Linked DNA regions of Neodiprion lecontei. Each later gene encodes a partner of the first gene's protein in a complex. Links are inferred from orthologs where the notes say so. Each region holds a gene or a part of one and is shown in the gene's direction. Other genes may lie near its edges.

The links.
Region 2: small nuclear ribonucleoprotein Sm D3 (region 1) and protein CWC15 homolog share a complex: the UniProt entries of both Homo sapiens proteins name them as parts of the minor spliceosome. The link is inferred for Neodiprion lecontei from reciprocal best matches to the Homo sapiens genes SNRPD3 and CWC15.
Region 3: small nuclear ribonucleoprotein Sm D3 (region 1) and BUD13 homolog share a complex: the UniProt entries of both Homo sapiens proteins name them as parts of the minor spliceosome. The link is inferred for Neodiprion lecontei from reciprocal best matches to the Homo sapiens genes SNRPD3 and BUD13.
Region 4: small nuclear ribonucleoprotein Sm D3 (region 1) and thioredoxin-like protein 4A share a complex: the UniProt entries of both Homo sapiens proteins name them as parts of the U4/U6-U5 tri-snRNP complex. The link is inferred for Neodiprion lecontei from reciprocal best matches to the Homo sapiens genes SNRPD3 and TXNL4A.

Annotation. Positions count from the first base shown.
Region 1 is NC_060261.1:15,627,902-15,635,456, reverse strand, and holds small nuclear ribonucleoprotein Sm D3, read left to right. Parts: upstream 1-4,215; 5' UTR 4,216-4,596; coding exon 4,597-4,912; intron 4,913-5,160; coding exon 5,161-5,273; 3' UTR 5,274-5,275; exon of another isoform or gene 5,276-5,490; 3' UTR 5,491-5,541; downstream 5,542-7,555. Other genes in the region: actin-related protein 2/3 complex subunit 3, read left to right, coding at 1,097-1,102, 1,477-1,653, 1,744-1,939, 2,061-2,215; TLC domain-containing protein 3A, read left to right, coding at 7,199-7,234. UniProt on the Homo sapiens protein: Plays a role in pre-mRNA splicing as a core component of the spliceosomal U1, U2, U4 and U5 small nuclear ribonucleoproteins (snRNPs), the building blocks of the spliceosome.
Region 2 is NC_060261.1:30,136,786-30,144,008, forward strand, and holds protein CWC15 homolog, read left to right. Parts: upstream 1-4,029; 5' UTR 4,030-4,252; coding exon 4,253-4,383; intron 4,384-4,501; coding exon 4,502-4,805; intron 4,806-4,890; coding exon 4,891-5,133; 3' UTR 5,134-5,203; downstream 5,204-7,223. UniProt on the Homo sapiens protein: Involved in pre-mRNA splicing as component of the spliceosome. Component of the PRP19-CDC5L complex that forms an integral part of the spliceosome and is required for activating pre-mRNA splicing.
Region 3 is NC_060263.1:19,780,757-19,791,414, reverse strand, and holds BUD13 homolog, read left to right. Parts: upstream 1-3,037; 5' UTR 3,038-3,349; coding exon 3,350-3,444; intron 3,445-3,588; coding exon 3,589-4,891; intron 4,892-5,022; coding exon 5,023-5,177; intron 5,178-6,991; coding exon 6,992-7,176; intron 7,177-7,264; coding exon 7,265-7,437; 3' UTR 7,438-7,675; downstream 7,676-10,658. Other genes in the region: prostatic acid phosphatase, read left to right, coding at 764-887, 983-1,194, 1,322-1,502, 2,222-2,346; solute carrier family 12 member 9, read left to right, coding at 10,290-10,557, 10,646-10,658. UniProt on the Homo sapiens protein: Involved in pre-mRNA splicing as component of the activated spliceosome. As a component of the minor spliceosome, involved in the splicing of U12-type introns in pre-mRNAs.
Region 4 is NC_060265.1:6,863,020-6,869,962, reverse strand, and holds thioredoxin-like protein 4A, read left to right. Parts: upstream 1-3,597; coding exon 3,598-3,720; intron 3,721-3,805; coding exon 3,806-3,942; intron 3,943-4,030; coding exon 4,031-4,244; 3' UTR 4,245-4,423; downstream 4,424-6,943. Other genes in the region: hsc70-interacting protein, read right to left, coding at 2,041-2,453, 2,538-2,811; receptor-type tyrosine-protein phosphatase H, read right to left, coding at 5,100-5,224, 5,320-5,382, 5,467-5,571, 6,149-6,247, 6,353-6,419, 6,562-6,697, 6,782-6,930. UniProt on the Homo sapiens protein: Plays a role in pre-mRNA splicing as component of the U5 snRNP and U4/U6-U5 tri-snRNP complexes that are involved in spliceosome assembly, and as component of the precatalytic spliceosome (spliceosome B complex).

The DNA of each region.
Region 1 (7,555 bases):
ATTAAAACGTACCATTAATGATGCGTAGAATATTTTAAATGTCATTATCGTAACCGTATATCCCACGCAATACTCAATTTATATGCGATTTTATGATCTTCTCTCATGTCGGCCACCCGTATGGCGCGAAAACCTGCACAATTGGATTTTTTTAAAAATCAAAGTAGATCTAGTTTCCAATAAACTGTTGTTTATTATCATGAATATTAAAATTGCAACAAATATATGCTTATCGTAGATTATCTATCGTCCTCTGTGTCTTTTGATACGTCAATGTTTGAGTATATTTTCTTACGCATTTGCAATTTTAGTACACCACTTCATTAGCGTTGCCATAAGCACGGTCTTACATACAGGTCTTGAAACTCATCAAAAGTTGCGTGGTGGGGGAAATACGCTTACGGTGCATTTTTTGTTTTTCGACGCTGCCGCCAGTTCGCACCACTGATATATATATACACGCGTGGTGCCGTCACGCCAATTGAACGGTATCCATTTTGTACAGATTCTTGTCACTTCAGATATATATATATATATATATGTATACGTGATATAGGTATATCTTCAGTCAACGAACTCTGATTCGAATTTGATTCAAATGTAAAATAAATAATTGACGTGCTCCAACACATGTGGAAAACAATATTATTTGTAAACTTAGCATTGAAATCACGTAAACTACAATGCCGTATTCGTTTTTTACGAGATGCGTTGATAATTGTAGAACGTCAATTATTTTCTGGTCATTGCAATCAAATTTGAATTGGAGTTTCAGCTTTTTCCAAAGATTCGACTCGCGGCCACCAGCGGAGTGCTGCGGGCAGCTAAGCATATTTCTTTCAACGAACACCCTAATGCACATGTGTGATAGTCACGTGACTTTCAGCAAGATTGGTAGAGGCATTCTGCGCATGTGTGACTTTTACGGTTTTATACGTATTGCGACAGTATAACTCCACTACTGACATACATGATATAGCGATATCTGGCCAGACCCCACCAGATTATAGTTTGCCTGTAATAATTTCTCCACCCTTGCGGCGTTTAATTTCATGTTTAAGAAGATAATCAATCTACGAAAAAGTATCTGTCAAACATGCCTGTGAGTCTATCCTTTTCAATTTACTCAAATTAGTAATACAAGACTTATTTCTGTCTTGAAATTGTCGATTTGGTTTTCCGCATTCAGGAGCTGTCAAATGGGTGTATCCCTTTGATATCATGAATCATAACACGGGGTCACAATTTAACAGTGTCGTTGACCTTGATCCAATCGACCTACTAACGAGATGTTGATAGTCAAAGATCACTTCAGATTTACTCTTGAAGTAAATCACGGACTATAATTTTACCTAACCTAATTTAACTGTCAACATGCTATTACCGTGTCAATAAATTCTGACGTGTTTTGCTTTTCTACTATTGATAGACTTTCTCACTTTCACATTATCATACCAATTTTGCATAAAATTTCAGGCATATCATTCAAGTTTTTTAGAAAATAACCAAACGGTTGGCAACATGGCATTGCTACCGTTCAAAACCCAGTTTCGAGGACCAGCACCGTCATTCAGTAACAAAGAATTAGATATAATAGACGAAGCTTTGTATTTCTTTAAAGCAAATGTTTTCTTTCGAACCTACGAAATTAAGGTAATTTTTTAATTTGTATAGTTACATTAAGTAATGTATGTACTGTACACTTATATTACTACCACTTCTTCGCCCTTAAATATTCTACAGAGCGAAGCTGACCGAGTCTTAATTTACATCACTTTGTACATCACTGAATGCTTGAAGAAATTACAGAAATGTGCAAACAAAAATCAGGCAACCAATGAGATGTACACCTTGGCTATTTCCAAATTTGATATTCCAGGAGAAGCCGGTTTCCCATTAAACTCTGTTTATGCTAAGCCAAATACTGCGTCTGATGCTGGTAAGACCATTGAATAACAAAATCAAACACATTTTCCTAATTTTTTCACAAATTGCTACCATTACTTCAAGTGTAACACAAATATGAATTATATTCTAAATGTTGTAATGGTTTTTTTCAGATTTAATGAGGCAATATTTACAACAGTTGCGCCAGGAAACTGGCATTAGAGTCGTAGAAAAGGTTTATGGAGAAGATGGAAAGCCCAGCAAATGGTGGCTGTGTTTCGCCAAGAAGAAGTTTATGGACAAGTCATTATCCGGACCTGGCCAATAAATTGTAAATTATCTTCTCTTACAATTCAATCCAATCGCTGTAAGATAGGTTCATTTTATGGCTCTTGTCTTTTTCTGAAGAGTGAGCTACATGTTAATTATTAATTGTTTTTCACACTTCTATTAACATCAATCAACAATTTTTAGAATTTTCCTGCAATGTTGAGTTCAATATGTTTAATTTATTAAGAAAAAAAAATATCCGGCTGATAGTTGTAATCAATTTTAAACTACTAAATGTTCCCTGTTACGAATTAGATAGGATTTCATTGGAAAAATATTGTGTGTAGGTAATTACAAATCCTGCAAACACAATATGTTTAATTAAATAAGGAAAGAAAAAAATATCCGGCTGATAGTTGTGGTCAATTTTAAATTGCTAAATGTTCCCTGTTAAAAATTAGATAGGATTTCGTTGGAAAAATATTGTATGTAGGTAATCACAAATCGGGCAAAACACACTTCAATTGTATTGTTTAATTTATTACAGATAAAAAAAATATCTAGCCGAGAATTCTAGTGGATTTTAAAGTGTAAATGTCCCTTGTTGTAAATTAGATAGGATTTTGTTGGAAAAATGTTATAGGTATGTAGATAATTACAAATCAGGCAAACAAATGGTACGCACGCATGTGATGAACCAACGGCAAAGGTAAAACAATTTGTGAAACGTATAAATATACCTACGCATATTCATCCCACGTAATATAATTTTCAATAAAAACTTTATTTTATATTGCGGATATAAAAATCGGATTTAAAAAATTCAGCCATAGCTTCATTTCCCGAAATTTCTCCGAAATTATTTTCGGCTAACATGCATTTCACGATTAGAGCATAAGTGTACGCAATACATCATCTTCAGTTAACGTGCGACGTGCTCCAAGAATTAATTTAAATCACTAACGCCTAAGGGCTCAGTCTCACAAGCCGCGACGCGGCATGCATTCGTTCTTGGCGCAGCGGAATTCGCGCTTCCAAAAACCTGCAATCTTATTGGTTGCTGGATCTGTGTTGCCGCACCGTGCTCTGTGAGACTGAGCCTTAAGCGAGGTCTTTGTATACAGGGTATACAAGTCTGAAATTGGTATTTAAATACCTAAATATCTACGCGGTAGAAGAAGCCCTGATTTTAAAGCTAGTTTATAGCCGCTGAAATCGCTGACATCGACTGATGTCAACGGGGATGTATGTAAAAAGGCTGTGTTCGTAAATTGACTGACAGTACTGAAAATTCCCTAGGACAGAGTCAGAGCTATCCACGAACTTGGTAGCGCAAAAGAGATAAAAGATTGCTGACAGTACTGTCAGTCAATTTTCGAACACGGCCAAAATAGATGTGTGTCCAAACCGCTCTTGGTGCTGTTTTCGCCACAAAATGGCTGAGCTTGGCCAATCGGATGCTGATGAACTTGCTCAAGACTTGGCACAAGATGGTGGCAAAGTTGATTGCAATTGATTGGACTAACAACTTTTGGGAACTTTGGTGACACGGAGGGTTAGACAGAGATGGACAAGAACGAATTCTTTGCCAGAGATCAAGCTATCATAGGGTTTTCGAAAAAATGCAGCTACGTACACATAAAACCTACTCATATATATTCATGCCTAATCCTATATGCTCTAAAGTCCGAAAGTGTTGACCTTGTGCGACTGCAGCGCTATCTACCAGCGAAAGAAACGAGGTCCGTTTGATCAACGAAACATTTCATTTCTTTGTAATCCTCCATATACAACGGTTCCGATGCCACTTGAGTGGGATTACTCTTACACCCGTATTCATATTCCTTCCTTGAGGAACAAGGATTCCTTCACGGAGTAGTAGGAAGGAGACAACACTCTGCGATAAAACTTGTCCCCAGTTTTAAGGTACCGTAAGTGGAATTGTCTAAATGCGATTTGAGCGCCTCTTACGGAAAAAAGTGAAATTTCCGCTATAAAATGTAAAAAAAAAGGGCGGCAATCATAACCTATAAGCCTCCGTTTTATAAACACACTCCGTAAATTAGTAAAATACGCATCTGAAGTGTATCCACGTAGAGAAATTAAAAAACGGGGACAAAACGCGTACAATTTTTTAGTATACGAGCAGTGGTGAGTGTCAGGGGGCTGAATACGGGTATTGGAGCATGTATAGTATATTATATGCTCTAAAGTAAGCCGTGATGCCGACCCATGATGCCGACGATAAGCCAAGTGGCCAAAATTCGAACTAAGTAACTCTCCGGCCATTTTCGTAAACGAAACGAAAGTGGCTGGCGTCCGTCGACAAACGTTGATGCAACGACACAGACTTCACACGGGTATAAATCCGTTTCAATCGCCAGTTTTTTCGTGAGCTAGTGAGATTTTAGTGTCGATTATCGGAACATAAGTGTCAAAATGTCGATCGGGGTGCCAATTAAAGTACTTCACGAAGCCGAAGGTCACACTATAACCTGTGAAACTAACACCGGCGAGGTTTACCGCGGAAAGTTAATAGAAGCCGAAGACAACATGAACTGTCAAATGCAAAACCTGACCGTCACTTATCGCGATGGACGCGTAGGCCAGCTAGAGAACGTTTACATTAGGGGCTCAAAAATAAGGTTCCTTATATTACCGGATATGTTGAAAAATGCCCCGATGTTCAAAAGACCCGGTGGCAAAGGCGCCGGCACTGCGGGCAGAGGAAAGTCTGCAATACTACGGGCACAGGGTTTGTTTTTTCACACCAATACAAATAGATCTAGAATCTTTCAGTTTTTCATCAAAATCGAAGTCCGTAAACATGTTTTGGCCTACTGAACATTTTATTTCAGCAATGTGGAATGCAATCCGATTCGAATTCATATTTCTGTTTGACTGGCAATGTTTCAGAGACTCATTTTTCTAACAAGTTTTGCACTTTTATGCATCAATATTCTTTTTCCAACGCAAATTATCACCGAATATATCTATTTTTAGCACGGGGCAGGGGACGAGGTCAAAACCAGAGAGGCAGAGGCACGGGTTCGGCCCCTTGGTTGAATCAGCAAAACCAACCAGGAGGTTCACAACCTGGAAGAGGAAGAGGATAAATGTTATAAGGATCATTTTTGTTTATCATTATATCTAGTGCACTAAAGTTTATTTAGTTCATACTTTTATAAGGGATGTAAAAAATAATTCCATGTAAACGTAAATTGAAACCGTACATGCCTGTGACAATATGTGTAGGCAGTGATCACTAATGATAATAACAATGTAAATTAATAAGTATTCAAAAATTTAATGTCATTGTGTTTACTCCCTTAGGACTTTGAACAAGAAAACAGACCTGGTGGAGAATACAACTGTCTTGCTGTATTGTGGTTTTCATTCATATTCCATTGTAACATCCCGTCTAATTGTAAGTCTCAACCAGAGGTACATGGGCAAATGCGAGCATTATTATGAATTTTCTTCTACATTAATTATCTTAAGACCTGAATGAAATACTAAGATAAGAGGAAAGATTGTTGAAAGAATCTTTAACTATGTTATTTGCGACAACGATTGTCAACACAAAAGAGAATATCTACTACGTTATAAAAATGCATCTGAGAGGTCTGAATAACACAAGCTATGATATCAAGAAAGGTTTGATTATTGTGAATTGATATTTCATTCCCTACAGAGATAGAAAAAATTCGTCTAAAGTAGTTTCAAAAACAATTTACATCTAGAGTGCATATAAATAGATTTTTGTCAGAAAAGTGCAGCAGATATTCAACAATTACATTTGTGCATTATAACTATTATAGTGTAAGAATTTTCGAATGTTTATTATAAGTTGTATGAATCTAAAGTTCCTAATTACGTACTAATTAGACACTTCATTAAGAAATTGAATGCTCATGATATTTTTAATTCAAGCGGGAACCTCCAAAACAAAAAATCCGCGAAGGACGATAGATTTCGAAAAACTGATACACTGGAATCAAACGATAATTAGAGGCTAAAATTGAGTGCAAGGTTGTGTACATGTACCTATGTATCTTTCTGTTTCAACTTGTGAATCGTAGTGTCTTGCAGAAATCTGGCAGCGCTGCCGATTTAAAAAATCTTATTATATACAGGAATAAGATGCAAGTAGATGCTCTCAAAATTGTACTTATTCGAATTAAGTGCCAGGTTGTACCTGGGGATTTAAGTTTCTTGAAAATCACCGACTCATGTGAACGTTACATAAAACAAATTGATTTTAGAAAAAAGCTCACGTATTCTGTTGCGAAAAATATCCTGAAAAGTCTAGGTATTTGTCAAGTATGACTATCGCAGATCATTTGTTACATTGCTATTATATGTTTTCATTTGAAATTTATATGGATTATACAAATGCAACAAATAATCGGCCTATTTTTTTGGCGGTTCCAGTTTGATAAAGTTAAGCTTAATCAACGTCTTTTGACATTTTCTAACAGTGAGATCCGTTCCAATGGCCCAGTAAATATATTGTTTCGTTGGTATTCACTATCATTGGCGCAAATAACATTGCCAGGGATTTCGTAACTGTTGTTTACTCTTTTCATAACTTGCGATTCAAACCGACTTGCAGAACGGTAAAATTTTCCGTCCTAGGGTGGTTGGTAAAATCGGCAAATCAAAGTTCCAAGTTCTAACAAAGTTGCACAGAGAGCGCTGAAACCCTCTTTCGAGCTGAACGACTTCCCCTTCCACTTTGGATTTGTGGGACAGTAGAGTGGATTTCGCAGCTCATGAAACATCAGAGTGCTAGCGAAACTAGCGAGCTGTTAGCTATTTATCGAACGAAATGTTGTCAGTAGAAGACGCGATAGATTTCATACGCTTAGATATGTAAGAAAATGTCAAATGAATAGGTGAAAATTGTCCAGAGAGAGAGAGAGAGAGAGAGCGACAGAGATTGTGAGAATAGCGATTTATCTGGTTGAAAACCCTAAACGGGATCGACGGCAGTCGAGCGGTGAAGAATAAGAAAAAAAAAAACGTACGACGTGGTAAAATGGTGCACATAAATAATTCCGGCAAAAACAAAGAGGTAAGCGTTGTCGAATATATTTCACTTCATTTTATCACTGCTCTTTGATCTGCGCAAGAATATCGTATCAAAATTCGCTACTCAAGTCTGAGTCAGGATTATTCTGATCGTTCCATGTTATTCAAATACGGAACGAACCGCAATTCACGGAATATGATGTGAAATAATTTCTTACCGGTTGTCAGCCGGGCATTGAGACTACTTATTACCCTTCACGAAAAATATTATTGATTTATTCGGTTCGATTAACTCAGCACTAATGATTGTGTAAATCGCATTTGAAATTGTTGATTTTGTATTAGAATTGCACAGAGAAGAAAA
Region 2 (7,223 bases), about 15 Mb from region 1:
TTCGCAACCATCATTAGCTATATTCTGTAGGTGTACATCATACCAACTCCTTCATCAGTAGTCCACCCATTTACTGATCCAAACTAACGGTTGTGCATCTGGATTTGTCATCTCATCTAAGGTATTGGAAAAAAAAGAACACATCTAGTATCGTACACATTAATCTACAATGTGTGTTTAATAACGGGAGACCGCAATAAAAGCATTGATTAATGAACACAAACACATTGTATATTAATATTATACACGGATATTTGCACACTTGAATTGCACGGTATCAATCATACTTAAGAAATTGATCAACTCTATACGAAACAGTCGTTTATACTTCTAACTTATAGATTTTAACCTCGGAAAATAAATTTTTCAAACCAAATGTGAAGAATGCATCTTTGATCAGTTTGTTAACACCGAGCCGTTTAGTGGGAAGCCTTTAAAACATGTTGGCATGTTACGACACAAACATCAAAATTTTGCAAGCCAAGCCGTCAAGGATGTGTTTCATATTATTATCATAGCACATTCTGTACAATTTTGCTCATAAAAGCTCCAGTTCAGTATTGCGCTTGCTTTATCCTGGCATATGTTTCCCTGAGGCTTGATGTTTCGAAAGGTGGTATTTCCAGAAGAAGAGCGTATGTTATACATTCAATGCTCCAGATGTCAACTTGTTAGGAATGTCCAGATTTCGCCAGAATTTCTGAAGTTATGTAATTTGGAGTGCCGCACAAAATCAGAGTATACGGCAGCCTGAAATTCCTGGCAAACCGGGAATTATACGAGAATTTTGAAGGGCTCTTGAAAATACGAGAATTTCCCAAAGCAGCCGGAAATTCGCAATGAAATTGCCGTTTCCATATTCACTCGGTGAAAAACGAAGTGTTAAAAATGAATATTTCTTCGGAATATCACTGCAGTTTTAGAATTTTCAAAATACATAGAAAGTTGACACAAAGCAAAGTCAAAATGTAGGAAGGTTAGAGTATAGAGAGCTGTACTGTAAAGTTATCACAACGAATAAGAATACATCCGTATTCTGATGGTTCTGTATTCTGATTTTCTATACTTTACTTTTCGTTTTGACTTTTCTGTACTTCGGCTTCCTACATTTTGAAATTCTATGAAATACATTTTCGCGTATTTGAAAAATTCGATATTGTGAATATTTTATTTTCTGATTTTTCTATATTTTTGACTCTACCTGGATTCATCAGTTCTACACACCGTCGAATGTTGATCATATCATCATAACACACTAACGCCGTAGAAATCATTATACTATACGGGAGTTTTGAAAAAAATAACCGTGCATACACGGGAATTTTGAATTCTGATACCGCTGGACATCAAGATCCAAAGTTTCTCCGATGCTTGTTTTTCCTGAAAACCACGGTTTAATTACATGCGTTGTGTACTAACTCGCCTCGAGTGCGCCTCAATCTTTGATACTGTTTAATTAGCCTTTGTGAGATTACTAAGCATCGCTAATTTACAGTAAAAATTATTGCAATTCCGTAATCCGGTAACAAATTTCGAATATTCAAGGTTCTTATTGATTTCGTGAAAGTTTTTCAAAGTGATGTAAATTGAACAACGATTTTATAAAATCAATTTCAGAAGGCTCGTTTTTATAAAGCAGTATATTACAAGCAATGTTTTATTTTACTCAATTAATTAGTTATTTAAACGAAAAATCTAATATTTTTGTGAAATATTAGGTAATACATGCATTTTCGTATACGTACCTAGTTATCCATAAAATATCACTCAGATATTCGTAAAATGCATTTCTACCCTGTTTATCCCCCCTATAAGGCCGTTATTTTATTAGCGAGTAATATTTTTCGGTAATATTAGATTAGTAGAAGAATATTTGTCGCAATATTGGTTCATCGAAATGAGTCTTAACATTTGAAGACTTGATTTGTTTCAAAATCGAAAAAAAAATAATTACGCGTATACAAACATTTAGCATTTTCATTTTCACACCAATTTCTGTTACGCTCGTGACAGCGAAGCCATGACACATGCGCAAAGAGAACCATTCTCAAGTTTATTATAGATACCACATTTTTTGATTTTCCGAAAAAAAAACAAAATTTATGTGAATGCCGTCTTCACACACACACACACACACACACGCACACACATCCGTGTAAAAGCGCGGCGCTGGACTGAGAGCTGTATGATAAGTCACCTTTTGCGGGGCTTAATCCGCCGGCAATAACATCAATTTCTTAGAGCGCATATTCTGGGCACATCAGAAAATCAACAACAAACTTTATGGTGATATATGACCTCTCAACTGCGTTCGAAAATTTGACATTGCTGAACGCCGAATCAGGACTATTGACGGTACGTACAAAACATAGTGTAATTAGCTGTATGGAATAAAGAAAGCATGAACACAAGATTGAGATTGACGTGTAATACGAAAGAATGATCAGTTTAGAAAAAAAATGACGATAAATCGGTTATCCCGCAATAATGTTCGAAAGAATTAATGAGAATTTCTGTCAATATTATGTCAAATAACAGCCAAGAGTGGTTGTTCGAAACCTGGGTTGATCAATTCGTCTTCAATCCACTGATCCCCAATAACTTAAAATGGCTTTAGGATCTACCCATTTTTTACTTCGCCTTCGAAGTCGGCGATCGATGATTAAATTATTTTTCGTCTTGCAAAGGATGCAAGAGATATGAGAGCAGAGAGAAACGTTGATTAATATTCATCGAGACTCACCTTCCCAAAGAAACGACCCTTTATGTAGCTCCTTCCCGTACATATTTTCATCGTAGATCACATTGGGAGTAAAGTTGTTTTTGTCATGTTTAGACATCTCTATTGTTCCGGGTAATTCGAGCCACAGTCCGGTAAAGTTATAACACTTAGAAATCACCTAAAATCACAGTTATAAGGCACGTAGTACACCCAACACCGCTTCTCTTGATCACTCGTACTCAACTGGCTGCGGTTTCGTGTTGAACGGGCACGGGATTTTAATGTTTGAATCGAGAACTTTTAGCCAATAGCGTACGCTCAACTTGATACGTGACATCCAAATTGTTTGATTTTTTCACCTTTGCTTGCCTTGTCACGACATTTGTTTACAAGCAGTCACAACGGTGTCATATGGTTTATATTCACATTCCCGTACGGACGAGATAAACGTGTGAATGCATAGGTGAGGTGTATATCCGTGTATCGGAACGTTACCACTGTAAGTTGTCAGTGAACGTTACTGAACAAGATTGTTTATTCATTTATTTTACGAAGAAACAATCGAGATACGATCTGTGTCCACCGGATGAACAAAAACACTTTCCTTTTCCGTCTATCGATAAAAATTAAATAAATGCATTATCAATGATTTCACCATGGGATATATTCTTTATCGATTCATTGGTTCATTGATCACATATCTTATAGATATGTTTGCGTATATACATGCACATACACACCAGAGATACTTGTAAAACCAAGTAGTTGAAGACACGGTCAACATAGGTATGATAAATTCACAATTAAACTTACTGTAAAGGGAGTAAGAAAAAGACTACTACTAAGTATTTTCGGTGACCACGATAAGGTGGCCACCCCCCTCCAAAATCCAGCCCCGTGATGTTCTGAGAAATTTTTTGCATGATTTCTGAAGGAAATACGACGAACTGTCCGATAGCGAGGACGAAATTTTTATAAAAGCAAGCGATTTTGCGTCCGTGACTCAAAATAAATGTTCATATTTTCTGAACATGCGCCATTTACTGAGTTCGGATATAAAAAATTTTTCGGGATCCGTCCAACCAGTCACCTAGAAATAAATTTAAAATTCGAATTTCGGTCAAGAGGACACGTATCGGCCTACCAGGTTGCAGAGCGAGAGAGACAGGCTGTACACGGCATAACTGCTCTATCTCACTCCTTCGCCACACTTTCTGTACACGCGAAGCTATCTCCAGTAGTATATGCTCCATGGTAATATCTGACAAATTGACCAGCGCCAACTTCACACGAGTGCAGGTAGCGGAGACGGTGGTTGTTGACTGCCGCCTCTGTGTTACATTAGTCGTTTTCCATAGTTCATGGCACAAAATCCAAACCAAAATTTACTGCTCCCGTCACAGCAAGTACATACGTCAATAGCGTATGCGAAAAAATAGCCAAGTGTAAACTAGAATCTGAGTAGTGTTTTAAGGTAGTTTTTATCATCGTCCCGAGGGATTCGCAGGCTCGTTATACTCTGGTTTCAAAATGACTACAGCTGCGAGGCCGACGTTCGAGCCAGCGCGCGGAGGTCAGGGACGCGGAGAGAAGGATTTGAGCGCAATTTCTAAACAATACTCGAGCAGAGATCTGCCGTCTCACACGAAATTGAAATACAGGTAACAGTACAAGTGCAGAGATACCATTTTCGCGTGTCTTATCTCTGTCCTCGTGTGCTTTTTCAATATATCGCGTCATAACCAGAAAGTTCACATAACCTAAAAATTGTCTTCCCAGAGAGTACGGACAGGGAACAACAGATGAGTTGAGAAGCCGTGATTTCCGCAAAGAGTTGGATGAACGTGAGCGGGAAAAAGAGAAGGCGTCGAACCGTCGCATGATTGAACCTGCAAATCGTGATGGTTCAGCTGTCGCAGCAAAAAGACAGAAAATCGATCAAGTACCAGCAGCTAGTTTGGATGCCGACGATCCATTGGACGAAGACGATTCCGATTCTGACAGCGATGAGGATGACACAGTCGCATTACTTGCTGAACTTCAGCGCATAAAGAAAGAACGTGCCGCCGATCAAGCCAAAAAAGTAACGCACCTGGATAGAGATAAATTCTCTCTCCCTGCGATCACTGATTTGTTGATTTATAAATTGTCATTTTTTTTTTTACCAGGAAATAGAAAAGAGACAAGAGGAGGAGCGGATACGCATGGAAAACATCCTTTCCGGTAACCCACTTCTCAATTATTCAGCTCAGCCTGGCCGTACAGACATGAAAGTGAGAAGGAGGTGGGACGATGATGTGGTTTTCAAGAATTGTGCACGCTCAGAACCTGAGAAAAAGCGGGATGTGTTCATAAATGACTCGTTAAGAAGTGAATTCCATCGAAAGTTTATGGAAAAGTATGTGAAATGAACGTTGTGTCTAGCTGAAGAATTTGAATTGATGACAATCTCGTATTGTGTAATAAACAAACTAGACTACAGTTATCATATGCACTTGACAAATTACAATCCGATAATTCGAATCAATTTCATTTTGAATAAAACTAGCGTAAGTGGTATAAACTTTCGTTAACTATCGCCATATTCTTTGTTCTTCTCCAACTATAAATTAAGAAGCTGGAGTGTGTTAAAGTTGATTCATTGTATAACTTGTACAATGTTTGCGATTGCAAAAAAAAACTATTTTCATTAAACTATACATATAGGTAAACCAAGTTGTGTTTGTATGAAAATATTTCTTGACCCAAACACATTTTCTACTTACAAAAAGTGAAAACGATAAACAGTGTTCTAATCGAATAATTTAAGTTTCTTCTTGTTTTTAGTAAAAAAATATCTTGGATTTTTTGTGAAACTATTCCGAAATTTTTGTCATCTGGCATTGTGACCAGCCCATTTATTTACCATTTTCTTTTATAGTATGTAAAGAAGTTTATGCAATGTAACTAGATGAATAAAAGAAAAGCGCGGAAATTATGGAAAATGTTGAAATGTTTCACTGATTTTTATCTACGCCGAATGTTATATTTCCTGGAATTTGTTCGAACGATGATAGGATATCTCTAATGGAAGACAACGAAGACATACGAGTAAGAGGTATGGGACAAGAATTCTTTGCTTCCCATCAGCTACAATAAGAAAACCAATATTAATCACGGAGATAAGAATGCGGTAAAGGAGGGCCTAGATCGCCGTGAACGAGAGTCAAGACTTGATTTCGGTAGGAGTTGGTCCAGCAAACGCATGGGTCAAGTATAACCGGTCCGAGTTATGACCATTGGTATGGTGTTACGTGTACGTACGTACTATACGTGCATCGTCGCCGTTGTCGGGCTGCGGCAGAGGCAAGCAGTCTGGTGCGGCCGTTCGAAGAGCGAGAAATTTATTACAAGAGACATGCGAGTTGGGAATTGTTGGTTGGCGCAGACTTTGCGGCACCGTTTTTGCGCGCAAGCAGGCGCGCTGCCGCTGAGGAAAATCGGTGACTCCGAGTATCGTTAATCAAGATTTAATAACGATCACCCCAAGGCAAGGCGAACGTGCAGCACCTTGCAGAGCAGTTACGTCGATTTCTCGCATATGTACGAAACGTTCGTTCAAATATGCCGAATACACGCATGCATATACGCGACATGGAATTCCATACGTATGTAATACTCGTAGTCGGGAATTTGCCCGCGGGCTTTTCTCCAGCTCTCGTGCATACTTACGTGTATAAGTGCGTAGGTACGTATGTATATACGTACATACTTGTTTATCTTATTAGTTATTTCTTACACGTGAACAGACGGTGCTCCCTGCTTTACCTCGTGCCTCCCTACCTGCCTCTCCGCGCCTCTCTTTTCTCCGTTCTCATCCTCCTGCCCCTCTCCTCTCGCTCTTTCTCTCTCTCCTCCGCGAGCCTCCTCTTCGGCAGGAGAATCTTCTCATCCCGTATTACCTAGCATCCACGTCGGTGTCGACTCGACAGGGCCGTACAATTATTGTTTTTTACAATGTTATCACGGTGTTTGAACACCGACGACAGCTAGTACAGCCCGCGTTTCTCGTAATATCGTTCAAATCAATATTTTCGCGATTTACATTCAATTTGCCGCTTCCGGCGATCATTAGAACGGTTCAGTAATCCAAAGCAATCACGGTTTTAGACCCCATAGCAAGTTTTCCAACGATTTAAATGATGACTCAATAAATCATTTCATAATTAATAATGAAACGTTACTTATGTATTTTATCGAGTCCGCTTTTTTCACATACACACACTTTGGCTACATCAGTCTAATTAGTTGTCCCCGTCAGTAAAAATGTTCTTCATTCAACGATCGGTGGTAGCAGCCTTCTTTAGATCTACCGTTCTGGTAAAAAATACATATCAATTTTTACACGATGATTCATAAGAGACTGAATAAACATCAATTATCTATATATTGTCCCAATTCAGCATCAAATATTTGAAAAATTGCATTTGTATGCGTTCTTCATGAAAAGAATATTATATTT
Region 3 (10,658 bases), on another chromosome or scaffold:
CCATGTTAATGTCATAATACGCAATTGCAAATGACTGATAAATTATGTATCACAATTATTTAACATCTAATATTTTACTTTTCTCATGTTGCACAAAAGGCTGCAAATTTGTTTTGCTTTTAAATACTAGATTTTCTGCTAGCATTTAAGTTGGTGCCCTAGTCGATTTCGATGTTGATGTACGTATCTCCAAATATCCAAGTCCATGTATCTCAAACATGAAAAACTGCTTAACAGCCCCATTCTATGTACAATTCTGAATAAAAACACTCTAACATATTTTCAATCCGTGTAGAAATAAAGAAGTGGCATGGATTCTATGAAATCGTTATAGTAAATTCGTATAATTCATGCCATTTCGTTATTTCTGCATGAAATGAAAATGTGTTTGAGTGTTTCTGTTCAGAATTGTATATATGATGGGGCTGTCAAGCCCTTTTTCACATTTGAGGTACGTGAACTTCCATATTTGGAGATATATACGTCAACATCGAAATCGACCATGGCACACCCTTAACCCTTGGAACATCTTTTTCTTGAACAAATATTTATTCGTAATGAATGAACAAATTACTAAATATTAATCAGCCGTAGCAGAAACATTCGTATGCAGGCAGATTAAAATCCAAAAAATTTTCAATTCAAATTTTAAACCCTTAATGAAGAAACAATATTCCTATTATAATTCCATTATTTCTAAAATGTGGATGTAGTGACTGTTATCATAATTCAGCTAAATAACCGATATGTTATTCTTCTCCAGGTTCTGTATAACCGCACCTTGCCCGAGTGGACAAAATCTGTATATCCAGATAAATTAAAACCTTTAGCGGATTTTAGTTTTACTGTAGAAGCTCACAATAAACTACTCCAAAGATTGAAGTCAGGCAAGTAGAAATATTCATGCGAAAAGTATGTTAATCGTGTAAAATAAATTCCTGAGAATTGAAGTTTCATTAAAAAAATCACTGATTCCTAACAGGACGATTATTAGGTGAAATGGTAGATCACCTAGTAAGCAAATCAAAAAATGCACTATTCCCGAATAGAAAAATATGGATATACAGCGCCCATGATACAACAGTGGCAAACTTTTTGATGACATTAGATTTATTTGAGCCACACTGTCCCCCGTATACAGCGACTGTCCTTGTGGAATTGAGAGTGAACTCACTGAAACAGCATATTGTAACGGTAGGGATACATTCTACTGGTGTCATTATAATGAATAATTCCTCAGGTCCTGTATACTGTGCTTTGCATGCAAGTTGAACTTTTTCTAGAATGATTACAACCTCAGATTCTTCACCCTATATTCTAGATTTCGTACAAAAATACGTCCGCTGAACCGAGGCTGTTAACTTTGCCAGGCTGTGAGGTCGCGTGTCCATTAGGGAAATTTGTAGAATTAACTAACGACATGATACCAAAAGATTGGGCAAAAGAATGTCTTCTAGGCTGGGAACAATACGCACACAACATTACCATGCCATCTATATTTGGTAAGATAAATCTTGTTTAGTTAGAATCCCTCAGTTTATGTGAGATTAAAAACGTTCATAAGGTTTAAAGAAATTTTGGAAGCAACTTCTTACGGTACTTCTCTGTATGGAGAGTGCATCCATGAAAGCGTCACATGCTGAGCGTAATGCCAGACTTCCCATTATTGCAGTGATAGTATACCTATTTATACTCTGACTTGCGTGTTAATAGTATATCACTGCACAGTGTTACTATAGCTTTCTTATAGTGGACTCAACATACGACTTGCCTATATTACTGTTGCGGCAACATAAGACACAACTATATTTTTTTCTAGTGTTTTGAATAATTAACTAAAAGTTGTTTAAAGTTCAACAGACCATGATTGCGAAAAAGTTAATAAACGAGTCTACATAGTTATCTGTAAAGAATTAACAAGTACATGTAAATGCAATTGATTTGACCTAATCTTTGTAAATAATTTCGAGAAATATTCAATGTATATACATTAGTAACATAGATATTGAATTTCGTATGAACAATTTCTTTATGATTTTAATTCACCAATAGTATTCATATATCAATTTAACTTTAACTTACATTCCACTTGAAATATTTCATTACAAAAATGTTTGAGAAGTTCCTTTCCCGTGACGGCTGTACCCCCTTTAGTTTTTATTGACAATTCATACTGCATCTTCTCATTTCTAATTTCTTACTCTATTGGTTTCTATTTCAGGTATTTCAATATTGTTGCTGGTCATCATCATATTACTAGGTTTGTTAATCATCGGCGTTGTCTACTATCACCGCAACTGTGATAGTAACCGTTATTACTTTAAGTTGACGACAGATCCTATTTAATTTAATAATAAAATCCGACTTATGATTATTGCGGATACTAACACGGGCATTGGAATAATTTAGTATTATAAAAAGAAAATTTTCCAGTGTGAAGTTCGTCCCTTATTTTTATTGATCGTTGAACACACGCTCAACTTTATTCACAGGATCAGCACAAAAGTCACCTGATATGACGCGGTCATTTTGTACTCGAAATTTTTCATGATAGTGCAATTTGAGTAAGTTAGGTGTTATGGGTTAATTCAACTTTCAACTTTGCTGTAAAAAACAAATTCTATTTACATTATAATAAATATAAAACAGAGACGACAAAATTAAGATTTAGTGACACAAAGTGGTATTGTATAAATGATTTTAAAAAAATTAGTCGTGTATTTCAGAAAGACAGAATCCTCATTTTCTACCTTTCTCAAAGACACGCGCAAGCAACGCTGCGTAACTACGGCGAGCGTTCATTGCAGCACTTCCAATACGGTTACGCAGTGCGGTTACACCGCGTGCTATGGCAAAGGGCAGCCCCCTGGCACCACTGCTCGTATACTAAAAAATTGTACGCGTTTTGTCCCCGTTTTTTTAGTTCCTCTAAGTGGCGCTAGTAGACTTCTGACACGCTCGCTGACCGCGCGCAAGCCTGTCAGACAACTACTAGCGCCACTAGTGGTGGAGGTTGGCGGCAGAATCGAGGGACATTTTGCGAACCACTTTTGCAGCGTGTGTCAGGGGGCTGGCAAAGGGATATGAGTGCCCAGTATGGAGGGTAAAGCTAATATGCGTGAGCTCCGGCAAACGCATGCGGAAGGCGACTCGTACGATGCGTACTAAGTAGGCCGCTCCCTCACTAGCGCTAGCGGCGAAAATTCACAACATCGGCTTCATTTTCGAGCACGGTTTTACAGCCGGAGTACCCAGACCTGTCTATAAGACCGTGGTATGAACCTAGGTATGAATAAGTATAGATGAAAACAAACTGTAAGGTTATGCGCACACAACGTTGGATAAGAAAATGATAAGTCAGAAAGAGTATTTGAAGAAATACCTGTCATCCGACAAGGACAAAAAGAAGATTAAAAAAAAGAAACCCAAAATCGGGTCCAAAACGTAAGTGTTATCTTGTACGACTGTTTGATCGAGCAATAATACGATTTTTATTAGGTTAGATCGCAATGACCCTGGAATACAATTCCCACGATTTTAAAATCTGCAGCGCAATAATATCCATTAATTTTGCTTTATTTCCTCCAGTGTTAAAATTATTGACGATGACATTGATCTTAAAAATATGAGAGCAATAGAAGATGGGGAATTCGACATTTACAACAACACGGAAGACGGACCACAAATCGCTGGTATTGTCGACGAACGCGGTCCAGTTGACTTTTCCGACAAGAAAAGGTGGAAAATTATAACAGACGATATTGATGGAGACATAACTGTAACCAGCATTGACAGAAACGAGAGAATATCTGAGGCGATGAGCCAGTCAAGCAGAATACCTGCTCCTAATTCCAGAAATCGTTCTCCATCTGATGATGGTAAAGGCAGTCCACCTCATAGGCAAAGGAATGATTCCGACCAGAAAGAATCTAGTCGTAAGACACTATCGTCAAAGAAACTGCGTCAACATTCTATTTCTAGTTTGATTGAAAAGCCACCTGCTTCAGAGGACAGTGACTTCAGTCCACCTCGGAGAGTAAAAAAAAACAATGACTTGGAAAAGTTCACTCGACGTAGGAAATCTTTTAAAAAGAAACAAAGCCGAGCAGTTTCCAGCCCTGCAAGAAATTCCTCAGATTCTGAAAACAACGACACTAGTCCACCTAGCAGGACCAGAAAGGATTCTGATTCAGACGAAACTAGGTGCAAGAAATCTTCGAAGAAGAAACGGCGGGTTGAAAATCCTTGCAACTCCGAGGACAGCAAATGCAGCCAACCTCGAATATTCCGGAAGAACTCTGATTTGGATGAATCGATTTGCAGAAAATCATTCAAGAAACGACACAGTGCTTTCTCTTTGAATTTTGAGGATAATGACTTAAGACTGCCTCGGAGGATTAGAAAAGACTCGGACTCTGATCTTAGCCCACCCAGAAATTCAAAGGCTGAAAGAATTGATTGTACTAAACATTCGAAACAACGTGAAAATTCATTGACAAGTTCTCGGCACGACAAGCATTACAATAGAACTTCTAAAGCATCTCCTTCTGTACATTTTGAATCTTTACGTTCTAGAGGAAAAGATGAGTACAAATCAGGGAAACATAGTAATAGGAGTAATTCATCCGAACATGAGAGAAGTAATCGACAATCGAGAAAAGATGGAACAAAATTGAACAGCAGGAGAAGAAAGGAAGGTGATAAAGTTCGGTCAATATCACCTCAGGATAGACGACGAGATGGCAAAAAGGGAGGAACAAATAAGCATTCCAGAAAGGATGAAGATGACTCTGCACCTGATTTGAGTCCACCTAGGGAGACTCGGATGAATCATGAAGATTTGGATTCAGAATCCAAACCATTACAAAAAACTTCTAAAAATTATCAAGAGGTGCCTATTTCTTTGAAATGATTTATCTATTGCATTGCAAATTGCTTTTCTTATTTGATAATTTAATAAATCTATATTAGAATGATTCGAGATCTTTATCATGTGACAAAGGTATCAATTTTTGCTCTCAGATGAGTGAAGAGACAACTGGTTTTGGGCAGGCTCCAATTTTCCGCGATCGTAAAACTGGTAGAAGACGAGACTTCGCGGCAGAAAGACGCGACAAAGAACAGAAGGATGAAAAGCGGAAAGAATTGGAGGATAAATATGCTCAGTGGGGAAGAGGGTATGTTTTTCTATGGATATGTTAACCTCTTTATAGCAGGGCTGGTCGAGTTATCGATAGATCGATATATCGACCAGCAGTCAGGTTAGGGACTCCACGTAAGAAATTGATAGAACTTATTTCTAAATTTCACGTCCAATAAAAGGTTGATTTCAACTTACATTTCTCCGCTGTTAAAAGGTTAATATTACGATCACATCATAATTACCGGGCTACGGGCTACGGGCTACAGGCTACTTATTATTGTTGATCAAGCAAAGATTTGCGTTCAAAAGTTTGTACATTATCTAAGTAAAAATTAAATATTTTCCTTGGAAATGAAGGTCAGTAACAACACCAAAAAATTGTTTCGGTCCAGGTGGGGCCTCCCTCAAAACGATTATATATTTACAGAACCATCTATCACGAGAAAGAAGAATAGGTAACACAGGTGAATTACTTAAAATTAATATCTAACGAGACTTATGAGATTAACAAGGCAACTTCTGCCGATATAATTGAAAAGAAATTACCTAGTAATAACGTGGAATATTTCAATTTTGAAGAACAACACGAAGAAGTCAATATTTAAAAACAAAGTACAATAAAAAAACCAGTGTTAGATTAAAAAACTGCGACACGAAACTCCCAAGCATTCATCATGGTTAATAAAATTAAATTAAACACACAAACGAAATTTTTGAACAAAGATCTATTTTAAAACATGTAGATCCTCCAGCGTGCAGTGGAAATAGAACTAAATCAGTCAGTAGTAAGAAGCATAGACAATGAGACAACGAGTTCAATAAATATAAAAATATGATAAGAAGATGAGATCAAGAGCAAGCTCAGTCGGTAATTAGTGGTTATGGTTGATGTATTACAGAAGTGTAAATAGCGCTGAGATGTTCAATATCTTGTCTTAGATTGACCGCGTTAGGATGTGCAACAATGTTGCACGTTGTTGTTAACCTTTTGTAATAAAAGGGCTCAACATCTAAAATACTAGGTTTAGTACAATTGAAAGCATGATTAAATTCAATCGAGTGTCCAGTCAGACCTGTATAATTATCATCATGCTCATGGATGTTTCATTTATGTTCACTAATTCTTGTATGTAACTGCCTACTTGTTTGTCCTACGTATGACAAATTACATTGGTTGTAAGGAATTTTATAAACGACGCAAGAACGCTTATCCAAGGGTAGCAGATCTTTGCCAGAGTCAAACACAGACGATAAATCGTGTGATAAATTTTTTCTGACAAATTGAATATTATATTTTGAGAAAATTATACTTAAAGACTCGAATAGACCAGAAACATATGAGATAGATGCAAAGTTTTTTTGATTAACAGGTGCAACGGCTACTTCATTATTGTTGTTGGAATCACGAACAGATACAATAGACTTATATTTGTTATGTATATGTTTGTTAAGAAGGGCAGGTGGATAATTATTCTTGCGTAGTACATGATGAATCAAGGAAAGGTTCTTGTTATGAAATTCGATACTAGATAATCTAATCGCTCTATCAACCAAGCAATTGATTGTTCCAATCTTGTATGATCTGCGATGGTGAGAATGAAAATTTAGGTACCTCTGTGACCGGGTGCCTTTGTGGAACCAATCAGTTTTGAAAAGCTGATTGTCATTAATGATAAATACATCCAAAATACTGATTCGACGATTGCATTAATTGAATTTTTTGGTGTTGTTACTGACCTTCATTTCCAAGGAAAATATTTACTGCAACATTACCGAATTTAAGAGACCATTATTCATTATCTAAGTAACTTTCGAACTTTCATTTGATACGTACATTCTTATTCACAGTTTGAAGCAAGTTGAAGACCACAAAGAAAAGCTGGACAGAGATTTGTACGAGATGAGTAAACCCCTGGCAAGGTACGCGGATGATGCGGATTTGGAGCGAGAACTCAAAGCACAGGAAAGAGAAGGGGATCCAATGCTAGCGTACATAAAACGGAAGCAGATAAAAGAAGGAAAACAGGAGCCAGGTATTGAAATAAAAACTTCATAACTGTGCCAAATGCAATTGTATTTTAGATCGCAGTTCAAACACAAGTTTTTAATATGAAATTTCAGAAAAACCCAAATACCAAGGACCCTTTATGCCCAACCGTTTTGGCATTCAACCAGGATATCGTTGGGATGGTGTAGATCGGAGTAACGGTTATGAGAAGAAGTGGTTCGATGCACAAAACGCGAGGAAGGCAGTACAGGAAGAAGCGTATAAATGGAGTACCGCCGACATGTAGTGAATAAATGTACATATATACAATTTTTCCTGGTACGTCAATCAGGTTTGCTGCTTTCAAATTTCATAGGTATGCAACTTGTACTTTGGAACTTGCATCAGGAAATATTAGATTCTGTTCCTTGCGGTGATCATCAATCAGGAATAAATTATGTCGGTTAATATAACTACCATTCATCTTAGGGGCAGATGAAGCTTAAAATTATTGAAAATCAATAAATAAAAAAATACGTCATGTTTTTAATACGTATTCATTCGTTTTACGATTTACGAGTGAATACAAATACAAAGAAATACCGGTCAATTCCTGTGGTTTACCGGTTAGTAAAGAAAGAAATCTGTAGTTCAGTGTGTCGTACTACTATAATCGGTCCTTACCGATCGAGGAAAACGTCACTTATTATCTTCTTGCATCCTGATTTTTACTATTAAGCGCAATTCCAAATGAAATACCGATTGCAGAACAAATTAATTCAAAAACTTTTTGGTTTACTGTGATACTAAAGCTTGGCATTATTATTTCGTAAAATAAAACTTTTTTTGATATTTATATTTCGCAATGCATGTGGAGCTGCGCTGATTGTGATATTTTCATATGGCTGATGCGTAGGCTTTGACGTTCACTGAAGAATATAAAGACGGATACCCCTGGGTGAATTTTTGTGACCAGTTTTCGGCGGGAAAGTAGGCCCAGATGGGCTTGGGAACGTTTCTGTTTTATCAATTCTACCTAACGGGCTCGCACCTACATTCGTAGCAGCCCAAGTAGTGTCAGTATGGAAGCTTGGGATTGAGTCTGTACCACGGTCTTACTTACATACAGGTCTGGCAACGAAGCCAATTTTCTACAGAGCGGCGTGGTTCTCTTGCTGTCCGTGGTTCTTAGTGTTTGAAATAGCCATGTCGCGGCGCTGCTATCTAGAGATGCACTATTATTAGGTCGGCGCTGCATTGCGCACGCATTGATTATCCATCCTTTGATGACAACGCCGACCTGGCGGCCACAAAGTGAGATATAATAGCCGGCCGTGAAATGAACAACCCCCACTACCTTCGTTGTCAGATCTGTATGTAAGACCGTGGTCTGTACAAAGTGAGTACGTAAGACTACTTGTCCTACCACCTCCGAGCACCTCCAAACACCGCCAACTACCTCCGATCACCTTCGTCCTCCTCGTCCACCTCGTCCCCCTTAACCTCCTCATCGTCCTTGTCCTCCTCGACTACCTCCGATCATCTCCAACTACCTCCAAACACCTCCTACCAATTCCAAACACCTCCAACCACCTCCGAACACCTCCGAACACCTCCTACCACCTCCGACCCGTAATTATATTTTATTCGACACGCGCTCGATGTATTCCATAACATGAATATTCTTAATTATTCCCACAACTTTTCATTTGCTCTCACGATCTTGAATTTTTGTAGGCATAGAATCGAAACGCTGTTTTGGTTTAAGTCACAAGTGAAGTATCTACGTTGGGTAGAGAAGCAGAATTGTTTTTCGAAGTGTTCGTATCGAAAAAAATTCAGAGTAACTGTAATACATGACGGATGCGCTAATTTTGATCGAGATGAAATGGATGCTCCGTATACGATCGTATAAATCACATTTCGAAATGAATAAATTTTTTATTTTCATATCATAGCCGTATTATTGTATATAATCTAGTTTGTCTCCTGGAAAAGTATAAAATTTACAGTATGCATCACGTATTAATCGTAAATGGATCATATATATTAATATCGTACATGGATCGCATATACATATATACTTTTTGGTCTCTGCATCATTATCACATCTGATTTATTATTATTGATGATCTATGTATATAGTCTTTTTTCGGGTACCTATACTTTAATGAAATCACTGTTTTGCAACGAATTTTGGAAGAAATTTATTCTCATTATTAATTCCTTGTATCGCCGACAAGACGGTTAGTACACACAGGCTAAGTACTGGCTTGGATTCACCCGGTTTACCATTGCGAAGATCGTGTTACTCGAAAGGTGAATACAGCCAGCATCACGTCGAAATCGGTAACTCTCAGATGTTCTGCAATAAGTTCTCAACTCTACCGTTGGAACATCTCAGGGGACGCAAGCGCATAACGATTTTCGGTTGTCACACCAAAGCTCAGTAAGGCAAATGTCTTTATATTCTTCAGTCAATGGCGTTGATGATCGTCAAAACAAGTAACATTCAACGCTGTCGGTAAAAACTGACTATACCATTCTCTTAATGAGTCATACGTGTGGAAAGTAAAGTCAACGGTACATGGCAAAACCGTGGCAGTACCTAGGAAACTGTGACCAGTTTGTTGGTTGTCACGTTTCTGCTTTGGCGATTTGCCGATGTGTCAAATGTCAGCCTTATGAAAAAAGTATCCGTATTTAATTGAGCAGCTTTCCATGTGTGAATAGATAAATCTGTTATACGATACATATTTTATTTTGATGATATTTAAGAAGAGTGTTTTATTCTTTTATGTACTTTGTTACCACCCATCCGCGATCAATTGAATTCCCATGTTATCTCGAGGATTGGTATAGGGCGGTATGACAGTATAAATTCTAAACACAATTACGACCGTTTCTCGATGGCGATTACGAAACTTGAATCTTGACTGATGCATTCGTTTTATCCTACGAAAAGAACAAAAGAAAATCTTTAGAATTTACGTACGATTAACGATTATTGTGATTCCTCAGGTATGTTATAGTTTGTTTATTGTTCTTTGTTCAAATATCTGACAGATTAGCTCACATTTATATGTTGTGACTCTTTGTGGTATACAAGCAATAAACGAATGATGGAAATGTTTTTTGCTGAAGGTAAGCATATGAAAGATGCTGGCTCCGGAAATAGGCTCAACAAACTCAGAATCGATAAATATTCATGGGAAAAATGAGAAACTTCCCCTTATTAGGGGTAGAGGAATTTTACAGAGACTCGGTGGACTTTTCAGTTTTGCAAGATCATCTCAAACTATGAGCGATGGGTACGTGGAGTTTGGAACATTGGGTCCGCAGCCAGGTCGGACCCTGGGTACCTTTGCCGGTGTTTTTAGCCCTGTTACCCTCTCCATGTTCAGTGCCTTGGTATTTATCCGAATAGGTAAAATTTTCCACATCATATCGACATACTTGTCAAATGATTTCCAAATGCAGCTATCTGGTTTCAATTGTTTTCCTTCAATTTTCAGGGTACATTGTTGG
Region 4 (6,943 bases), on another chromosome or scaffold:
GCTGATATCCAGCAAAGCTTGCCTGTAAGTACTTCTCAGATCGAGATATACCCATGATATCAGATTACGGGTGCTTTGATTTCCCATGAAATGAATGGGCAAGGTGGGAGACTAAGAGGAATGGCATCCATGACTAGGTGCACAAAGCTCGGTACGGGGCATCAAGAGATAACCAAGGAATTGAACAAAGAATAAAAATAAAAATTTAATAACGAAGTACATCGCAGGTTCTATCTATGCTTTGCTGCGGGCAGCTGGCATAAAAAAAAATTATTTCACTTATTCGTTGTTAACGAAAGTGCAAGAAATTGAAATAATCATAGAATGTGATGCCAAGTAATCACGTCCAAAGCGCATTGAAACTCAAAACAAATCTTCGTAAAAGGGTGCCCATTCTGTCGATAAAATTAAAATGCATTTACGGTCAATGTAGTCGATTGAATGTTTGTTGACAATATATTAAAAAAAAAAAAAAATTTCAATTGGTAACCAAAGAGCGTGGGATCGACATTGAGTTATACAGTGCCTATCATACCTTGACGCCTGCGTGTCCGCCGCATTGTTTTGCGCACAAAGAGATATACGTACGCGTTATGTGCACCAGCTGACACAGACTGTTATTGAAAAAAAAAAGAAAAAATTTTTTGAAGATTGTAACGTGTAACGTTATAGTGAAAAATATCCTTACATCTTGATCCACTGCCTAGCGGCAGAAAACTACGTTTATAATTAATTATAAAGATGAAAAATACTTCCATTGTAAGAAAAAAAAAACCTTGTATTCAAGGTTTCCGTCGCTTAAAAAATTATATATACATATATATAAATATATATAAACATAAGTCGTAAATGCAGATTGTGTTCGTATATAAGAAGCTAAAAAAAATTACCGAATCCGTTTTCACCTGTGTTTTATGTTATCTATTTCGCATTACCGTGAGGGTCTAAACAAAAATGAGCCTTGCGGTAGACATACTTTTGCTCAAAATGAAGTATTTTAATCATTTACTGCCATCGGTAACAAAGATCTGTATCATTAACGGAACTTTGATGAAAGGCGCTAAAATAATATAAAATATTTCATTAGTGTAGCAGTCCTGAACTATACCATACCTCATGTACAATAGAAAAAAAAATTTCGAGTAAATTTGTGTCTTTGTCTAAAATGCTTTAATGGAGTTGAATCTCCTGAGCACAGATTGTTGATATTTTGTTTAGTATGCCAATTAAGTTACCAAGTTGTTATAATTTTATTATTACTATTAATTAATTATGCAATAAAATGCCTATGTAATTACGTTGCAGGATACCTAATGTTACAAGCAATGTATTATTAACTAAGCTACACATAAGTAAGACTACTTTACCAGATTAGTAGTTGGATTATAATTTAGGGAATTGTATTTTTAAATAAGAATGTGTGCTGTGAGCGCTACTTGTGTACATATGCAACCCTCTACTTTCCTTTTAAACTGCCATAAGCGTATTTCATTTTATGCAGTTACATCGCCCTCAATCGAAGCATTTAATTTTCTAATTATGAGCTATACTCAAAATTCATAAGTTCGAGAACTTAATCGCGTTACCAGCATTTCCAAGATCTCCAACTGCCATTTTATTACCCTGACAGTTTACCGCTGCCAAGACAGGTAAGTATGACTGGATTATATCTATCTGTTTTCCACAAATCACCTGCATACTCAAGCTTATGCGATATATCATTCACTCGCACGCGGGTAAAAAGTAGCAGAAAATCAGATTCAATAGATTGGCACATTGTGTATACATTGAAATACAATTCGCTTCTTTTTCAGATACGCGACATAAAAATATCACCAGTAAACATTGGCCGAAAGGATATATTTCTCATTTGTCCTATTTTTTGTTACGCTTTGAGGGATAAATATTCACCGGTACTTTAATCATTGTTACAAACTTTGGACACAAAGCTTAAAAAGTTGAGTGATGCTATTCCTAATGTCAAATCACAGTGAGCCTGAAAAGTTGTAAAAGTGAAATGTTAAAGTAGTTATTACTTACATTAGGAGTAACTTCTCGCAGCCATTCATCAGCTTGTTCATCAAAATCGATTTTGCAAGCTAGACGAAGGTCGTTGGCAGCCTCCTCCCATTTTCCAAGTAATCTGTAAGCACGTCCCCTGAACTTGTGCGCGGCAGCACTATCTGGATTTATTTCAAGAGCACGATCACAATCGCGGATACAAGCATTGGGTTTGTTGAGCATCAAGTACAGTTGCCCGCGCTTTGCATACAGCAAAGAAGCTTGAGGGTTCAGTACAATAGCCTCTGTGTACAAAGACAGCGCCTTTTCATAGTTATTTTCGACAAAAGCGGACACTGCTTCGGAACGCTTTGCCTGAGACTCGGCCACTTCTTCCTCAGTTGGCTGAAGAGTAGGATTACCCATTTTCTGTGGGGCGTCTGTATCCGGTTCTAAAAATTAGATTTATTCGTTTGAAAATAACAAAACGGCTTCACAAGCTCAATAAATTAGAAAAAGAAATGACCAAATCTCACCGATGACACCAGTCGTATCAAGTTCGATATCACTTTCATCAGATTCCGGAGCTGGCTCAGGCTCAGGAATATTCGACTGGGCGGGTTGAGGTTTAAATTTCGGATACCCCGAGGTGTTGCTGCTTTTGGTATCTGGGACACTACCTCCGAAATGTTCGATGAAAGTTTTGACAAACGCGAGGTCCGGGAGGTGCAGGATCGAAGGGTTTTCAATGCACAAATCGGTGAACACTTTCAATTGAGCTAGATGCTCTTTACTGACAGGAGCAGCCATTTCGATATCTTTCTGGATAAGAAAATTTGTGAGTTAGAATCTGTAAGCTAACAATGTTGATGAGATTTTTCAACGATTTATATTGTCGTTTAACAGATCATTCATAATTGACATGTTTACCGAATAGTGTGTACAGCGAATCTAGAAAATTCCAATTGAAAAACCTTGACACATACGTATGCACGAATATTTGGTACCTATAAAAATCATTGTCCGAATGAACTAGGTGTCAAAATTACAAATGATCATCAATTTAGCACAGAGAAATGAATATTCAGAATAATCAAATATCGTCATAATATCACCAGGTCAACCGGTCTAACCGGCGTTGATAACAAACAGTCGTGACTCGTAAAAAATGCGGTCGTAACAAGATTCGTAAGCCCGTATAAAAATTACAGCGTGAATGTAGACTATTGAATCTCAAAAATACATTAATATTTTACAATTACGTGATTAAGCGTCGTTTATTACCTTGTTCACGGTGCGATGCGCAGTACTTATTTTACTTCAATCACAACAAAATGTGCGAAAAAAAAACGTCAGCAACTCACCTTCTTGAAGGCAGTGGAAGGTTGGTGGCTATCGAATGCTACACCGGCACATTTGAGAACGCAAACGCAGTTATCGTTGCAAGTTAACGCCGCTAGGGTCGCTAGTGCCTTGATGTGCTATATGTGTGCCACTGTAATTTGACGTTTCTGTACGTGTAAATATTTATTTTTCCCAGTTGTACGCAAATTGGGATTTAATTAATTACAAGAATAAATCAAACACCTTATAAAAATGTCGTATATGCTGGGTCACCTTCACAATGGATGGCAAGTGGATCAGGCAATTTTATCAGAAGAGGACCGAGTGGTCGTAAGTTCACGTCATCATAACCTAAAAATTCAGTCGTACAAAATCGTATGTTAATTACACATAACTAAGTTTAGTTGCTCACTTTTTTTTTTACATTTAATACGAACCGTCCTACTTCGATTTCTTTCAGGTGATCAGATTTGGCCACGATTGGGATCCAATGTGTATGAAAATGGATGAAGTCCTCTACAATATTGCAGAAAAAGTAAAAAACTTTGCAGTCATTTATCTAGTCGATATAACAGAGGTCCCAGACTTTAATAAAATGTAAGTATAACACTCTGCTGCTATAATATTTTCTTCAGTACTTCGCAAAGCTTCAGAATAATAACCACAGAATTTTTCTGAACTGTAGGTATGAGTTGTACGATCCATGCACGGTCATGTTCTTCTTCAGAAACAAGCATATAATGATTGATTTAGGCACTGGAAACAATAATAAAATCAATTGGACTTTAGAAGACAAACAGGAAATGATCGATATCATCGAAACGGTTTATCGGGGCGCTAGAAAAGGCAGAGGTTTGGTTGTTTCGCCAAAAGATTATTCAACAAAGTATCGCTATTAATTACATTATGCAGCAAAAAGATTTGAATATATGTTTCGAATATATGATGTTGTTTTACATTAAAACATAAATTAATCATCATTAGTTGTATACAGCTTAGGTATTATTTAACAGTTACAGAATGATGATGAATTTGTACCGTCACATGTAAATAAACTGAAATTTTTCATTTAAATTTATTTCTGGATCTGTCTTTATACCGCTTTTATGCCGTTTTTATACCAATTTAACGAAACTTAGCCGATACCTGGTAAAAATAGTTTAGCTCTATTCAAATCTTTTGTAATTATTTAATAAAAATATTAAACATCAGTTCCAAATATAGATTATCTTAACGTTAAACTATGTACAATATATTGATGCAATACATTTTCCACATCTTATCTACAAAGGCCACTGTTATTTCCATCATCTTATTCAGTACGTCCAATAACGGAGTATAAAATTGTTAAAATTTTCATCTTTGGTACATTATTCGTGTATTATCACACTTGAATGATGGCACATCCTCAGTTGTAAGGACATAACAAAAACTAACCAAGATTACCAATAAATAATAAAAATAACCATCGAAGCAATAAAACGCGACATAGCAACTTATGTTCCAATGTCCAGTTAGTTGTTTCAATTATGAGTATAAGTATAGTTAGAAACAAGATGGCAGTAAGAATTTCTTCATGAATTCAAATAATAAATACTCTCGAATGTAATTTGAAATGTGAAATGCAATGTACTGAATTTGTACAACATTCAGCTTTAACAATGGGTACCGAAAGATACAATACTGATTTAATACTTAAATCCAACTTGTAAGTAAACCCATACGTTTATCGTAATACACAGATCTCAAAAAGACTAGTCCATTCTCAGACCTAAAGGTCTTGCAAACTCTAGCAATACGTTCCTGTCCATACTGCCTCTGCTTGATATGGTATCTGGTGCTGGCTCAAAGATGGGATACTCATGGCTTCCATATCTGACTATGAAAAAAATTTGTCAACATTGTTTTATGAAAATTGTCCTGATACAAATTTTTTCCTTAGCTTAGGAATATTATTGAATTATTGATGCATACCTATCTCCATGCTAGGTGATGCTTGAGTATTGATTGCGCTAGTTGATTTGGAATACCTCAACCCTGGAAGTTGATTGGCAACGTATGTCAGAAAATACTCCAAATATATTTTTATATAAAATGCTATAATAAGAAATATTGTATTACCAGTGCTCAGAGTGCTTAGCTGAGTACTATAAATTGGTCGATGAGCTGCGAACTCGTAAATCTGCTCCATAGAATCCATGGATGATGAAGGACTGATCTTTTTTACTGTAAAAACGAAAAATTTATCATTCAGACTAATTACCTGTTAGTAAATTAGAATTAAACTACTCTACTATAGTCAGCTATAATAAAAGGAAAACGAAAATTAATGGAACGTGTAAGCGTTTAATGATAGTCTTCCGAATTTTGAATGAAGCTAGAACGATTTGAAACTCCAAAACTGGCAAGATGTGAGGTTTGCATACACTACATGGCAATACTGCTCTACAGGGCTTTTAAGGTTGTCTTATTCATTTAGCAAATACAAAACCATTACAACATTAAGACCATATAAACATTGGTATGTCCAAGCTGATTCAACTCGTGCTAGCTAAAACTGAATCAAGATGACAAATTCCTCAAAACTGCTATAAGCGTAATAAAAACAAATTATAGTGAAAGGCAAATATGAAAACGTGTTCGGATAGATCATCGGTATACCTCAGCAGCTTTAAATTGTTGATTACTTTCAGTCGAAAGAAGTATATCTGATAATATTCTCATCATACATATTAAATATAAGATATAAATTATTATGCTTAGCAAGGTTTATGGATGTTTGCGTGAGGCGACATCTACATACAAGTTTCGATGCTGTTGACAAGATTCGTATTTGAGTCTGTAATTGGTTTTTTTTTCTTTGTGAGGTTCTCATATATCGGTTCAATAGGTGGCGGCTTAGCTGAAAGACAGGCAAAAGCATGAAAATTGTAACATACATACTAATTCAAACTACTGGTATTTGAATACATACGGACGTTCATAATTCATTTTCTCTTTTACTCACCGAGCCGTGCTGGGTACGGATTATTTAAAGTTTGTCTGGTGCAATTGTAGATATAAGCATATTGACTCTGGGAAAAAAATTACGGCATGATTATTTTGATGATTTGTTATCCAATTTTCTTGCAATCCACTATCATGCTTTACAACCTATTTCAACAATTATTGAAGACTTCTAAACTACTGGTCTGTAACTAAATCTCAATATCTCACCTCTGTTTGAACCATATTTATCCTATCTTTTCGCAAATTAAAAACTGTTCCGAATACGTCAAGCTTCTTGCTATCCCTTATTTGCTGTAACAGTATGTCTATAGCCATTAGGGTCCCGGTTCTACCTACTCCAGCACTGAAAGAACCAGAAGTTTGGTACACATGTTGGATGAAGATTACGGAATAGTGATTCAAGTAATAGAATATGAGGTAAGCATACCTGCAGTGAATCACAGCCACGCTTTTGCTTTCATTAATATGCCTTCGAACTATCTGACAAAACTGAATCATTGAATGAAAATCATCTGGGATACCGTGATCTGACCATTCTTTAAAATGTAAATGCATTAGCGTTCTCCTATCATTTCCCTGAAATCGGATA